Drosophila melanogaster: one gene and its partner. The protein of the gene in region 2 interacts with the protein of the main gene of each other region in a biochemical or structural test. Each region holds a gene or a part of one and is shown on either strand. Other genes may lie near its edges.

The links. Proteins that work in one complex are often made in the same cells at the same time.
Region 1: of the proteins of slmb (region 2) and Hipk, one has a biochemical effect on the other in vitro, tested with the Drosophila melanogaster proteins (one study listed by BioGRID).

What each region holds. Positions count from the first base shown.
Region 1 is NT_037436.4:543,358-550,943, forward strand, and holds the start of Hipk (homeodomain interacting protein kinase), read left to right. Parts: upstream 1-2,701; 5' UTR 2,702-2,841; intron 2,842-4,124; 5' UTR 4,125-4,421; coding exon 4,422-4,710; intron 4,711-6,939; exon of another isoform or gene 6,940-7,097; intron 7,098-7,181; exon of another isoform or gene 7,182-7,586.
Region 2 is NT_033777.3:21,121,781-21,129,571, forward strand, and holds the start of slmb (supernumerary limbs), read right to left. Parts: upstream 5,706-7,791; 5' UTR 5,215-5,705; coding exon 5,158-5,214; intron 3,605-5,157; coding exon 3,382-3,604; intron 814-3,381; coding exon 542-813; intron 472-541; coding exon 292-471; intron 228-291; coding exon 1-227. Other genes in the region: CG5793 (uncharacterized protein), read left to right, coding at 6,198-6,274, 6,341-6,437, 6,567-6,713, 6,772-7,113; Obp93a (Odorant-binding protein 93a), read right to left, coding at 7,170-7,369, 7,424-7,580, 7,648-7,782.

The sequences.
Region 1 (7,586 bases), on a different chromosome or scaffold from region 2:
GCTGTGTTGTGTTTGCTGAGCGCAAAGAAGAGGAAGCAGAGCTAAGAGAGAAGAGAAACTCTCGAAAATGAATTGAAAACGATGAACTCAAAGTAGCCCACTAGTATGGTGCTCGTGTGCGTGTGTGTGCTGTTGTGTGTGGGAGAGAGAGGGAGCGAACACAAAGAGCGTATCAACATTCAATTGCATTTTTAACTTGTTTTCGCTCTGGAATTTTTGATTTTCTCGCGTTTTTCGATTGCTTTTTGTTAGCAACAATTAATTTACAGGGTTCGTATTTTTCTCTTTCTCTCCTGGGGGGCGGTTTCCACAAGGGAAAACTCGATGTTTCCATTGTTTTTCTCGAATGCGGGTGCTGTTATCGTCCTCTCTCTCGCTCGTTAATTAAGGATTTTTGTGTTTGAATTCCCTAGCTTAGGCGACTGAATTCACAATGGCAAACAATAAACCCGCGATCGGTTTGGTTTTATTTAATCAGCAGTTGCGGTCAAACCCATAGAATATACATGCTTCTTGGCCTCTTTTCTATTTTAATTGATATTATAGCCTCTAAGAGAGAAAAAGTCTAAGAATATTTGCTAAAATTTGTTTATAAAAGTCTTCAAACTTATAATAATATCGTACACTTAACATGTAGTCCGTAAAGTGGGTAAGTCTGGAATGCCCTGGAACTAAATAAGTCTCAGTAGGTTGAATAATTTGTCCACTTTTGGGACTTTTATCCCCTTCCCTCGGGCAATTTTTATTGTTTGGGATTTATTGCCAACTCTTTTGGCATTTATCAAAACAAAAGAGGAACAATAGCTGGCAGGCGGAAATGGAAATAACTGCCTTATCCCTTCTCTCCTAATCTTTCTCTTCTCTCCTCTCTCTCTCTCTCTCTCTTCTGTCACTCGTTTATCCTCCTGTGACGCTGCGTCATCATAATCAGCGTTTGTCGATTCATCAAAGAAACCGCCGCCGGTTGCTCTCTCCACTCTCTCTCTCTCTTTTCCTCCATTCAAGGATACCGAAAGAGAGAGATCGAGAGAGTGCCCCCTCTCCTTCACACTTCCCTCATGGGTTTCCTATGTAAATCATTTAAAGGGAAATTGTTGCACAACTTTAACGAGTTGATTGGAGGGGGAGGGGTGAGGCTTACTGCTTGTGGGTTTTCCCGGCGCAACCCTCATTCCCCCAACCCACTCGCCCACTTTGGCAGCTGTCAATTAGAGCTTACAGGGAGAAAAAATGAAAACCCGAAGCTTCCATATGTTAGCTGTCCCTCCCACAGGTCTCCGCCCCCAACAGCTGTTGGAAAATGAGATTAGGAGGTGGGGGGTAAGTGGGGACCCAGCTTTATTGGCCTGTAATTGATGCCCAGGCTGCCAACCATATTGCTGATTGAATTGTGGCGTTGTCGCTGCAGAAAAGAAGAAGGGTGTGGATGCACAGTCCAGAGGACTGACTGCTGACGTCGCCACCGAAAGCAGAACCCGTTCAAGCTGCAGTTAAGCAAGTCTTCTGCGGGGAACCCCCGGGGACACAGACTTGTCGAACTCGCATCCTGCTGCGCTACATAAACCCCGAAAGTCCATGCCAGATTTAATGACAAAGGCCACCGCCCATTACAATGTTGCTTAACTACCATAATTATAAACAAAAATATAATATTATGTTTAAGGCTTACCTTCTCTTTACTTTTGTGCTTGGGGGAAATTGCAATTCTTTGAAGCGCTGGCTTATTTACATAAGAGTAATAGGGAATTCACCAGTTTAGTTACCTTTTGTTTGGTTGCGCTTTTCAAGTCTAGGTTTTCCTAAGAATTGTTCTCCATTCCTTATTTTCAGCATGCTGGAAACCATATGCTCTCTTTTGATCCTTTGGTGGAAAAGTACCCCCCGTACCTTTTCTTTGGCTCGGCTAAAAATGTGTTCAATCCACGCAGCCATTTCCATCTCGTTCTATATGTGTGTAATTAAGTCTGTCCACGACGCAAGTTTTCCTCAGCGCCTCTTTTTACCCGGCGGCTGCCCAACTAAACCACTTTGGCCCATTCGCACATCGCAACCCCCTCTCCTCGACCCACCTCAACAAAAAACAAAAAAAAAAAAAAACTATTTCACAAGGTGCCCCTTTGCCGGTTCTTGGCCTCCCTTTTGGCTTTCTCCGCCCCTTCCTTCTGCTTTCTGCTGCCGACGCAAATCCTTACGTGTCAAATGGAGCCCCTCACACTTTTGGATGGCGCCCGAACAGGGACATCCACGTAAGCAATCAAGCACTTAATCGGCTATCCGACGAAGGATTACCCCTTACTGGAATTATTCATACCGGATCATAAATTTGTACAGATAAGACCAGTTTAGAGACAGTACTATATAGTATAGTATAGTAAGTGAAAATCCCTAAACATTTACGTTAAGGTCGAAGCAGAGGATACCCAGGATATTATAGGGTAGCAAGGGAAGGAAAAACCAAAACAACAACCACAGAGAAAGTAAGCAAAAATAATTTCGCGATTCGTCCCCCGGGCAGAGCCCTAAAAGTCGCAATTTGAGGGGTGGAGCCCTTCTCTGGAGCGGCAGGAAGTGGGTAGTGGAAGAGCGGAGACCGGGCTTGCGCAGGCGCCTGGAAGAATCCGAAGCCGAGAAGAGCGGCGAGTGTCCGCTCTCTTTTTTCGGCTCTGTGGCAACAAAGTTTCGGTGCCTCAATTCTTCGATTCAGAGTCTCCACAAACGGCTTCGCGAGCGGACGTTGCAGCCACAGAAGATACAGCCACGGCCGTCGAGGAAGTGGCAGCTACAGAAAGCCAAGATATATATCTGCATATACATATGACTGGCGAAGCTGCTGCGAAAAAGGTGCAAAACAAATTAAGATGCATAAATAAACACCGGACTCGCTGGCAGGTGTTTGTGAACTCTGCTTGTGTGTGTGTGAGTGTGTGTGCGAGTGCGGTGCTGTGCGGTGAAATATTACGAAAGAAAACCTTTTATGTTTTGCAATTTTCCCGCAAACAAATCAACGAGCATAAATATTAATTTTGGCTACACCCAAAATGAGATGATGGACAATAACAGCGGCAAGAAGAAGCGCTTTCAGAAACTTGTTTTAGCCCGGTTTCGGATTTCTCCGTCTTCCTCTTCTCTTCTCGGCGACGTAGTTAACTAAGAGCCGTCGTATTAGACGTTAGTTAGAGAGTGCGTGTAAATTGTCGAAGGGATATTGTGTTTCCCAAAGCCCCATCTGAAATATGTATTCTCACTGTTCATCTCTGTAATGAAAGCTGTGAATTTATCAAGTTACTAATCGGTATTGTGCGGATAATGGCCATCAAAACCTTTTGAGCTACGTTTTTCGATTTTACATTAGGCAAGGGTATCCGTAGGATCCATTTACTCGCCAGCTGCAGAACGAAAATCCATTCAGCAAAACTGTCTCTCCCTTTTCCACTCGCTGAGCAATCCATTTAATAACTTTGGAACCGGCTTGTGTTTGCTTTAATTTGTTGTTGTTTTTTGTGGATTTGTTTTTTGGGTTTGGCAACGAAAGTTGCCAATTAGGTTTAATTTTAGGGGGCTTCGTAGAATTTTCAGCAAAGTGCGTAGAAAAGGGTTTCGTGGTGTGTATCCGTGTGGGCCAAAAGTGCGCTAGTGTGCGTGTTGTTTGTGTGCGGGGCCAAGTGCGTATCTCCCAAATGTTTTTATTGTTGTTTGCTTTTTTCGTTCTTTTGTGGTTTTCATTTTTCGACACCCGAAATGTGTTTGTCTTGTTTTTATAGTTTGCTCTCTTTCACGCCGCTTTTTGCGTAGTTTAAAAGTGGAATCAAGTAAAAAACAAAACAATTACAGTAGAGCCTAGATGAGGAAGTTCTGCGTGCAAGAAACATAAAGTTACCAAGTTGCTGTACAAGCCTTTCCAAGGCATTACAAAATTACTTAAAGCAAAATAAAGTTATTTAGTTCACTAGTTAGTCTCCACTGTCAATATTTGGACAACACATTTGAATGGAAAGTTTCAAAAGCGAATTAAAATATAAACGTATGAATGCCGGGCAGGTGTGCGAGTGTGGTGATATGATATTTTTGGTACGTGATTTTATTCGACCATGCTAATGGCTATTGTGTTCTCCCTCTACTTGCAGATTCTCTTTTAATTTGGCATAAATTGTATTTGTCTTGAAAAAAGCATATTCTTGTAAATATATCCTCTTCGTAAAATATTTTACTTAAAAGCCTTAAAATATTGAATTCACGTGAAATTTCAAACGGTGTCACTCGAAATTCGCCAGTGACTCGCCGCCACGTTTTGTACAAACATAGTTTGTAAACATAAGTTTGTAAGCGGCCGGAAAAAGGCGAACGGAACCCAAAAACCCCAATGCAAGCCAACTGAGTGCAAGGGAGACAGCCGACCACGTCGAGCGGGATAGCATGCGCCAATGAAAACGTCCTACCCCCCAAAAGCGTCCGATTTCGTTGACTACGCCGTTGCCGGGGGCGGGGGATCCGGATTCTGTTCGGGATTAGGAGCGGGACTTTCAGTCAGGGCGACGTCCTTCTACGGCGATCAAACGGTAACGGCAACTACGGACGGGACGCGTCACCAGGAACAACAACAACAACAACTGCAGCAGCAGCAACAGCAGCATATCCTAAGGCAACCTGCAACATCCGCATCGACTTCATCGGTAGCTGCAGCAGCAACCAGCAAGCGAAAACGTCAAACAGGTGAGTTTTTTATTAGCCATCCAAATAGTTACTACAGACGTGCACTAGCTTTATTTGTGACTAGGCTTTCGAAATCCCCACCTATAGGTGTCAAAAGGTTTGAATTCGATGTCGATAACATGTGAATTCGATATATTATGTTATGCAGGCAGTTTTCAGTGTAAATCGGATTCGGATAAATATAAGTTATCGGATAAGTTTTTGCTTAGCTAAGCACCTTCAGCAACCACACGAATGAATCATGGGTAATATGTCCGGTTGATTGCCCCTTCCCGTGGTGATAGCACTCATCGATTATTGTGACAATCGCTTAATTTGCTTGAGTTATCGTTATCACACACGCGCCGTGGGCAAATGCGCCCTGTTGTTTAGTAATACTAGGCGCAATATTTATTATTATTGGTTGCCGTGCCATATTTCTGCCTCTTCTGGGCACTCTTATCGCCCGATTTCCCCCAGCGCCTCCCCTTTTTATTGTTGATTATCACAATAGACGCCATGGCAACTTTTTTCTTCTTTATTTTTGGTTTGGTTGGTGAGAGTGCAAGGAAGCGATAATTCGCATGGTGGTTTGTCGCCGTTTTGTATTTTTTGGGTTTGTGGACATTCTTAGACTTTGTTTTGTACTTCGGTTGGTATCTTTGGATTTTCCACGCTATCCGCGATTACGCTTGCATGCTCGAGCATGTCTGTCTTGGCGCTTGAAGAAGATTCCCTTCCATAATCCCTTTAAAATTTGCGATGATGTTTTCGCTGCTCGACTTGCCTGGCTTCATTCACATTATCTGCTCTGTGAATAGTATGAGTTATTGTTTGATATCTCACAAGGTCCCCCGCACCCCTGTTCCCCGAGCTCATTGAAAATTCCAGCGGACGCAATTACCACCCCAATTGTCTCCCAATCTAAGTTTTCGCTTTTGAGCGGCTCCGCCTCTTTGCTCGACTGTATTTTCAGTGTTTCCTTCGCTTTATTTATTTTTCGCTTATTGCGACTTATAAAAATATTTCAGTTGTTGTTTGCGCTCCCCATTCGCCAGTTTGCCAGTTCGCTTGTTGTCGTCATCAGAGTGGCTGGAATTTGTTGTATTATTTTCTTTTTCGGTAATTTTTCCACCATATTTTCTGCTGTTCTCTTCTGCGAAATGTTTATCTTGTTTTGTTTGGCTGGCCCCTAATCGAGATAATACTTTTATTTTTATTATTTTTTTTTTATACGAGAATACGATTCTTTTATTTCTGGGTTTGCTCCGAATATCTCGAAAATGTACGGGGTACGGGTATAGCCAAAAATATTAGTTTTTGCGATATGAACATGTTGATTTTGTGTGTGGCACTTGATTTTCTGGCTGTCATCGGTTAGATATTTGTTTATTTCCACACTCTTATCGTTTGTTATGAATTTCTGACAAAAAAAAGTTTTTGGGGATAATTGTTTCAGCTAATTCTGATACCTCAAAGCATATAAAGTTTATACGCCTTGCCTATCAAGTAGGTGAAAATGTCCGTAGATTTCAGTTCAGCTTTCTTCTCGTGTCTTTTCATTCTGCCCTAATTAACTTCTCGCTCAGCATTCTCGACTTCATCTGCGGTTTTTCACATACATACACATTTCTGGTTTTTTTCTCTGCCTGTCGATCAGCGGCATCAAAAAGTTTCCGCTTACTTTGTTGCCTTTTCATTACTGATAGCCAGCTGCACGTATACTTTCGCCCATAAATCTCCGCCGGTTGCTAATAATTTCAGCCGACTGTGAGCCCTAACCCCGCAGAAGATTTCGCCACGGATCACGTTGGTTTTGAGTGGGTGAAAGGAGCTCAGGCAGCTGTGCACCCAGCCCAGTCTTCCTCGGGTCCAGGTCTCCTATGTCCCCCGTTTCGCCTCTTCTCTATAACCCGCTTTTACCCCTTTCTACGTCTGCCTGTGTAGGCGTTCTTTTTCTTTGCAATTTCACCCGGCTCACACAGATACACACCAACACATGCCCATAACCGGTGCGCCTTGTCTGCTCTCCTTCTCCTGCATTTGACTTTATGCGGGGTATCTCTGTTTTCTGCTTGAGGATGTTACAGCTTTTAAATCTTTATTCGAATATTTAACAATTGTTTTATCTTTATCTGATTGATAATCAGATTAAAGTAAGTATTAAGAGAGAATTGTACATTCTCTTATAATGAAGATTTAGTATGGAACTTCTAAAGCTTAAAGAAAAACCTCTTCACAAGGGTATTTAATACAACTTGTTATTAAATCTTTGTCTACTGCTCTTATCTGCTCCCCTTCTTCTTGTTTTGGGCATCTTTAATAACGAGAATCTTTCACTTTGCCTCGTTGTTTCTGCTGCAGCCTGACACCGTTATTCTATACTCTAGAGATGGCAACGTGAGTGTCTGTGTGATGAGTCAATGTGGGGTAATCACAATTAAACAATATTCGTTTATGGAAAACCAGATGCACCCGGTTCTCGAAGTTACCTGGATTGGGCTGAGACCTCACTGGGAACAGGTTCCACCGTCTGGGTTCCCGAAAACAAACAGGTTCCACATGTCGAACGTGTCCAAAATGGATTCCCAAAGGGAAATTGGTACACGCGTGCATCTCTCATTAAGACTCAGACGGCTCCCTATTCTCCGCCCGCCTTTCTTCTCCTTCTCCTCCATTCTTTTGGGCCCCTTTCTCCGCTTCTCTAGCTACTTGCTACTTGGTTATGTGATACATTAATGGCGTTTGTGTGTGCGTGCCTCTCGGTGTTCCCTTTTGCGACACACAAAATAAAGCCAAAAGCAGCAAAGGTTTCTTCAAAAGCATTCTACCAAGCCCACGCACTACAGAAGCCCCAGAGAGCGAAAGAGAGGGAAATACGTCGGTGAGCGAGACGG
Region 2 (7,791 bases):
GGTGAGGTCATGTCCCAGACGGCGATGGAGCGATCCTTGGAGCAGGTAACCATCATGCCATTGTTAAAGCGCAAGTGCAGCACCGCCTCGCAGTGGTGGATAAGGGTGTTGACCATCTCGCCGGTATTGACGTCCCACACGCGGACGGTGGAGTCGCTGGAGCCACTGATGATCACCTTGTCGTCATACTGCAGGCACAGCACCGATCCAGTGTGGCCCATTAGGGTCTGCAATTCGGCGGGCAGTGTGTTAGTAATCAGAATCTTATGGATTGATTATGTCGAATGCTACCTTAACGCACTGCAAATCCGTGCGATCCCAGATCTTGATGGTGTTGTCCCTCAGTCCGGAGACAATCTTGCCGTCATCGTACTGCAGACAATAGACACCCTTCGAGTTCTCGGACCGGCAGTTGATGCGGCGCAGCATGTGGCGGCCAGTCCGCCAGTTGTTCTCTATGCTGTCAATGTCCTAAAACGCATAGAATATGTGGGTTTAATAAACCGATTGCATAATTCGGCACACTTCGAGGACAACTCACATTCATTATCTTGGGGAACAACTCGCGATGGAATGAGTGTGGCCGTTGAGTCTGGCCCGGTCTTGGCTTGAAGAGGTACTGCATCCAATTACGCCGCTCGGCCAGTCCGCGCCACAAGGAATCTGTGCGCACCTTGCGTTCGATGAGCTTCTTCCAGAGCATGCCCTCGGAAATGACGCGCAGCCATTCCTTGCAGACCAGCTCGGATGATTTGAGCGATTCGGCATCCAAGTACGACAAAATGTTTTCTGCGATGTGATCCAGACCCTTGACTGCAAATAATTAATCATAAAATGTTATAATAATGCACAAGTAATTGTAATTATCAAGCAAGGCACAGATTCCATGTAATCTAATTATCTTGGAAAAGCCCATCTCTGTGGACAAAGTTTCTGACTAAGGCAGCTATTTATATTTGGCCCCCAGCTACACATAACCGATTTTCCATCAGATATGAGGTGGAGCTTTTGTGGCTGCTACCGCTCTTGGCAGACACCCACTCAACCCAATCAAATGCAATGCAATGCAAGCACATCAGCCAGCTTTAATTGAGCGCCAAACTAGAGGCAAAATGATGCACCTAACGGCATTAAAATGCACTTAGCCCAGTAGGCGGGAGTGGGTGTGGAAGGGAGTGTGTGGGAGTGGCTGTGGAGTAGGCGCAACCTATAGACTGGCATATTTACATGTGTCACGGTTAGGAGTGGTTGAGTTTCACTCGAAGGATGAGGCGGGGGTATGGCCATAACCACATCCACATCTTCATCTTTGTATTGACAAACCGGCTGATGGGCCAACAGAGAAGTCAGAGTCTGGAGTGCATGCGAGCACACTCGCATTCAGTGCCTTCCCTGCTTGCTGTTCGCAGCATTTGCCCAACACAATTAAAAATGTGCATAACTCGGAATGGCAGGCTGTTTGGCGGGCGGCAGCGATTTGGCTCAACTTGTTTGCCGTCGCCGGCGACTAACGGTCTTAAGAGTGTCTATCCGTCTGCGAGCAAGTCCGTCCGTCCGTCCGTCCGCTCTGTCCACCCGACTGTCCCCCCCACCACCTTTTAGCTGCCTTTGAAGTGCATTACAATGTAAATGGAGGGGACAATGTTACCTACTTGCAACTCTTTTTCATTCTAGAACACTCAGTGATGCCAACTAAGCGGAAGTTATACAAACGTATGTGCTAGCATTCGATTTTCTTTTGAGTAAATATTTAAAACTATGCTCCTAAGGGATAAATTAGTCAATTAATTGGTGAATAACTAATCAGATGCTTGGTAAGCAAAGTAAATTAATAGCTCAATTTAAACTTGACAGTTTATAACATTTTAATCAGGCTCTTCATTCTAATTTCTGATAAGCATATCATAATGGCTTGCTATGTTTATAGTGACTGCATGAACTTTGTACTTTTAAAGCAATATATGAATTAGTTATATCTGGAAAAAAAAAGCCAAGTGGTCATAGTGTACTGTCATTACATAACAAGAAAGCAAGAACAAGGAGTGCATCGCCGGGGATTAAGTCAACGGAAGCATGAGACGACTTCCTCAAAAGAACTTATTCCAGACTGGTGGCTCAAGGAAGGAAAGGCTTGCAAATTAAAGAGACTTTTTTCGCTATTTCAGAACAGGTATGCATGCATGCATGCATTTCAGCGAATATCTGAGCAAACGAACCGAAAGTAAATATACGTTTTCTGTATAAATGCCCTTGCAAAGGCTAGAATTGCACGCACAGCTCTTGTTGATTGTTTGAGTCATCGATACGCTCACGTATTGATGCATTGATAAGCGAACTGATCGCTTATTCACATACTCATACTCATAGTTAACCTGTTTGCCCATACCCAACCCAATCATATCCATTGCACCCGTAGCACACTCCATAGTTTTGTTATTAGTTAACATCTGTTGGACGACAACAATCGATGCCACGAATAAATCGATTCACATTTTCTTATGAATAATATACAAGGTTCGTTCCCGCTTTCGTTCTGTTTGTGTTCCGGTAAAGCGCGTTTAATGGAAGCAACGACCTTTTAGTCAACAGCCAACAACCAGCAACCTAAAGCCCACCCACTGGCTTCACCTCCTCCTACTCCTCTGGGCTCCTCTCCACTCCAACAGTTGGAAACATGCCCGGCAACAATCCGGAGGAGCAAGGGTGTCTGTCGGGGGACGCGGAACGAATCGCACCGGGTTCAGAGCGCGGCTTGCCTTTCATGTTGTTCAACTTTGTACCTGCAGTTTGTTATTGTTTCGCCAATTGCGTGTGTCGAGGGCTTAAACTCAGCTTTGTGCTGCTAGACTCGCCTGAGATTCTAATGGTGGATGAGCCATTTCTGAGCCTTCATTTTAGGAGGAAAACGGTCAAACTCCGATGGTGGAATTCGCACCCTAACAGCTGTTATTGCCTTCTTATCGGCTGCGTGAATTGGTTTCTCTATTGGTCAACTGGGATTACTGACCTTCCCATACAAAGCATGCTGTTGATAACAACTGGGTTATAAATCACGTTCTTGGAATGACTTAGCATGACTAATTTATCCGTTCAATATTTATAATATTTAGGAATAGATCTAACAGCTTCAAAAATGCAGATTAATATATGATATACCACTTCATCATTTCCTCACTTGTAGAATAACCACTATTGAATCCACAGCTAAAACTGCATTTTTAACGTTCATATTTTCATAGTCGTTGGCTAACATGTTACAGTTTACAGTCTTGGCCTAATACTTTGTTGTGAACGTAATATATCAATCTGTATGAACGGAAGTTATTTCTCCACTTCGACTGGACTCAGGTGGCAATAGCCAGTGTATCGGCAGGCACTCACTTGGCAGCAATGTGATAAAGTCCCGCTGGAGCATCGGCTTGAGATAGGCATTGATCTGTCCGTGTTGATAGTGGCACATGCGCGACAGCAGGTGCTCCACAAAGTCCACCTGGCCCGACTCGCTCCACTGGGTGAAGTACTGAAAGCAGAGTTCCCGCTCCGTTTGGTAGGTGGGCGATGAGTCTTTCTTGCGCACCGGGTCGTACAGCATAGTGGTTGTGAACTGTATGGGTGAAAAGTGGCATAAAGAAGCAAATTAATTATGAGATTGCATTTGTTTCGTTTTTGTTGTTGTTGTTGTTGTTGTGGGGCGACGATGATGTGTTATGGGGTGCTTCGATGTCAAGGGGCGATCGTTAAAACTGGAAAAGTAGGTAGCTGCTGGTTGTGCAACTTTTCTTTAGTTTAGGCTACCGACGACCCAAACTGGGGGCTTAAAATTAGGCAATTAGCTTCGACTACGCTGAGCGTTTCTTTCTATTCGTAATTTTTCTCATTTTTTTTTTATTCGGCGGCGAAAGAGTTTGCAAAGCGGATTTCTGAAGAATGAAAAACGCGACTGGCAGCGCAGCGGTAGAAACAGATCATTCACACGGCCAGTTTATAAATAATAATTGTATCGATGTTTATTTGGTCTTCCATGCTCATTATGCGCATTCTATATATAGACATACCCATTGATGGGCCCCAATTAAATCAAACGTCATCAATTAAACGCTAAAGATCTCGGCAAACAATTTTATCGGCGTGAAGTAAACAAATTGGTCGATTCGAGTGTGAGTGATTTGAGTAATTAAGTTAACTGCAATGCCAGCAATGCGAAAACCTTGCCAGTATTTGTAGTAAATGTTGTGAATATGTATGTACAAACATACTAAGTTGTATTCGGGTCGGTTGCCTTAATTTAATTGCCGTATTATGGTTTTTGTAAGCTTTAGTTGTTTGCCTTTGCCTGGTAACTTTGAGCTGAAGGATGCTACTTAAACTATGCACTGATTATGCTATGAGAAAGGTTTGTGGCAATAAGCAATATGAATGTATATATCCTCTAATTGATAGTTAATAATATCTCGTTTGTGTTTCGCTGCTATTACCAAGAAGCCATCTGTCTCATTAACCAGATTCCACCTTGAATCCGGCGAAATTAAAGCCCAGATGACTCAAGCGAAACCGAGCGAAAAAATTGAAAATAAAAAACGATTTTTTTGGCCCATTACTCGATGGTTTTACGCGAACTGACCTTCAGTAAGCCGCCTATCGTATATAGCTCCACAATTAAATAAGTACTGATTGAAATGTACACGGCCGTACTTTGTGCACAGCGTTTGTTATTAATTGTGTACACAAACTCGAGGCCAATTAACGAAATCTTAAGACTCGAAAACCGGAGATTGGGGATATATACATATATATGCAACGATAATTGAACAAAGGGGATGATGATGATGATGCTGGCGATGAATAAGTAGGCTAATGTCTAATATCCACAAGAGTTTAAGGTTATAGCCCATGGGATGGCTATGTGCCACAGTGTCCGAATTTAATAGAGTGCACGAGTGCAAAATCTGTAGTATATACGAAAATAAAGCACTAGCACACGCACACCAGTGTGTGACAACACGCATAGGTGGCGTAGGTGTGCGTGCCCCTGTGTGTGTGTATGTGTGTGGGTCTATTGAGGCGACACCTTGGGCAATATGTACTTAAATCGGTGTGTTTAATGCATTTAGAAGGGCAGAGATCCCGCTTAAAGCAGGTAACTTAGCGAAAACTCACGGCCTGTGCATTGGAGTTGGTTTCGTCCATTATTTTGTCAGTCTCCATTTTCATCATTGTGTTGTTTGTGTGTTTGTAGAGTTTACTGGCTCGTCGTTTGCTTCTCTCTCACTCGCTCACTGCCAGAGTTTTCCGTCGCACTCGCACTCACGCACCACGTAGCGTTTTTCGCTGATTTTTCGTTAACACGTCTCGCAAATCGCTTTTCGCCAGCGATTTCATATAATTTTTAGGTCGAAGGAAAATTACAATTTGCTCGTCTCGGTTTCTGTAGGACCGCAGGCGGGATGCGCGAAAACGGCGAGGCGAACGCGATGGCAAAGGCAAACTCAACTTGCCGAGGTCCCTCACCAATTGAGCGAATGTCGTATGCAAGTCATTATTCTCACCGCTCCTGGCGGCTTGCACGTTGTTTGTTTTTGCTTATTCAGATGACGCCAACTACTGGACACTCACTTTTCACACGGAGAATTTTATTTTTTTTTACCAGATCTCGCCCAAATACGGACTGCGAAACCACAAAGCCAAAGATGAGTGTGCACTATCGTTATCGATATCTGTCACATATATGAACGGTCACACTGCCACGGGCCAGTGCTGCAAAATACGGCAAGAGCACACAATTTCGTCGTTTCTGCTCTAAATTTTCGAACAGGTTGTTGCAATTACAACTATTTATGAAATGTTTTTAAGTTATTTCCCTTTCAGAGCTATGAATTGTAAGCATTGTATGGCTACCCAACACACTTTGCCAGCTCTGACAACTCTGCACATCCATATCAGCTGATTTCTCGATCGCTCTCTCCGTTTTCTGTTGTTATTTAATTGATAAACTTGTTGCGGGGGGCCACTCTCCAGATAACCCCCCACTTTTAAATTAATAAATATTGCGCAAGTAAGTGCCGTCCAGCTCGCCGAATGCTCACTTTCATTCGACCGCAGAGCTGTTCCCATTCTAATCATTTCCTTGAGCATTCATAATCGAGCTACAATACACATTTTTTTTCAAATTCACAGTGCAACTAACTCAAATCCTCAGGATGGCGTGCCAAAACCAAAATGCCGCCAACTTCTTGAGCAATGGCAAGAAAATTGTGGGGGTGGCTCTCAATTACATGTAACTCAGTGTCATAGTAATCTTGGGTCTGCATGGGTAATCCACGAATACTTTCTTCCGTCGCAGGGACGTTGTGCTGGCCAGGAACGTTCCCGTGCCCAAGGAGCCGCTCGTCTTCCTCAAGCCCACATCTTCGTACCTCCAGGAGGGTCAGCCCATTGTGGTGAGTTCTACAGAGAATTAATTAAGATAACATTAAGATAGTAGCAAGATAGCAAAAGTCCATAAACTGGAGAGTAAACGAATGGAAATTGAAAATCCCTCTTGTGATTTAAACTTTGTATTCCCCCAGTTACCAAAAGTCTTTACCAAGGTGGCATATGAAGTGGAACTAGGCGTGGTGATTGGAAAGCCCTGCAAGAACGTATCCAAGGCAGATGCCATGAGCTATGTGGCAGGATACTGCCTGGCTTTGGATCTAACTGCCCAGTGCAATTTGGTAAGAAGATGGATGCACTCAATCAAGAGCCATTGTTGTAATCAATAATCAATTTCAGGGACCAGCTCGGGCGGCCGGTCATCCGTGGACCTTGGGCAAGGGATTTGATACTTCTACGCCCGTGTCCCAGTTTATACCCATCGAAAAAGTGACGGACCCGCACAACTTGCCGCTTTGGCTCACCGTCAATGGAGACCTTAAGCAAAACGGGTGCACTGCAGACTTAATATTCAAGGTGCCCGACATCATTTCCTACGTGTCCAAGTACATGACCCTGGAGGCCAACGATCTGATCCTTACCGGAACGCCCAATGGTGCCGATGCGTTCAAGGCAGGCGATGTAATTCAGTGTGGAATGGCCGATCTCGCTAAATTGACCTTCCAAGTGGAGGCTGAATAAAAGTGAAGAATTTAATTTTGATGCTATATTCGGATATAATTGGATATGTGCAATGGCTATTTCTTCTTATTACTGGCCACATCATCACAGGCAACCAAATATTTCCACATCGCTGTGCAATCGCTGGTGTTTTTCCATTTGCTGGTCGGGCAGTTGATGTAGACCTTTTCCATGACGCAGGCCAGCAAGGTGGCAGGATAGAAGTCGCAGTCGCCCTTCTTGGGCATCCATTGGAACTCCTGCACCCGCTTCCTAGCTATTTAGAATTAACCATTATTAAGTAGAAAAAAACTTTCGTATGCTAACTCACCGTAGTCCGTGCAACTATTGAGGCTCTTCAACATCAGTTGCGACATATTCGGATCGTTTTTGTAGCGTTGCTGATAGCTCTTCTGCAATGCCTGGGTATTAACAGTGCCATTGCTCAACAAGAATCCATTGGTCCTGAAGGAGCACTCCGCAATACACTGAGGATTACACGTTTCCCAAGAGTAAAGCCAGTTTTAAAATGATATATTTTAGAGCGATACTTACTGCATGCAAAGCCACTTTATCCGACTTAAGATTGCGCACTTCCCCATTCGAATTGGTTGAATTATTGCCCAGCAAGGACTTGCGACACGAATTGATGGCCTTGTCGTTTTTTTGAACATCACAGCATGAGCTCAACTGCCAAAT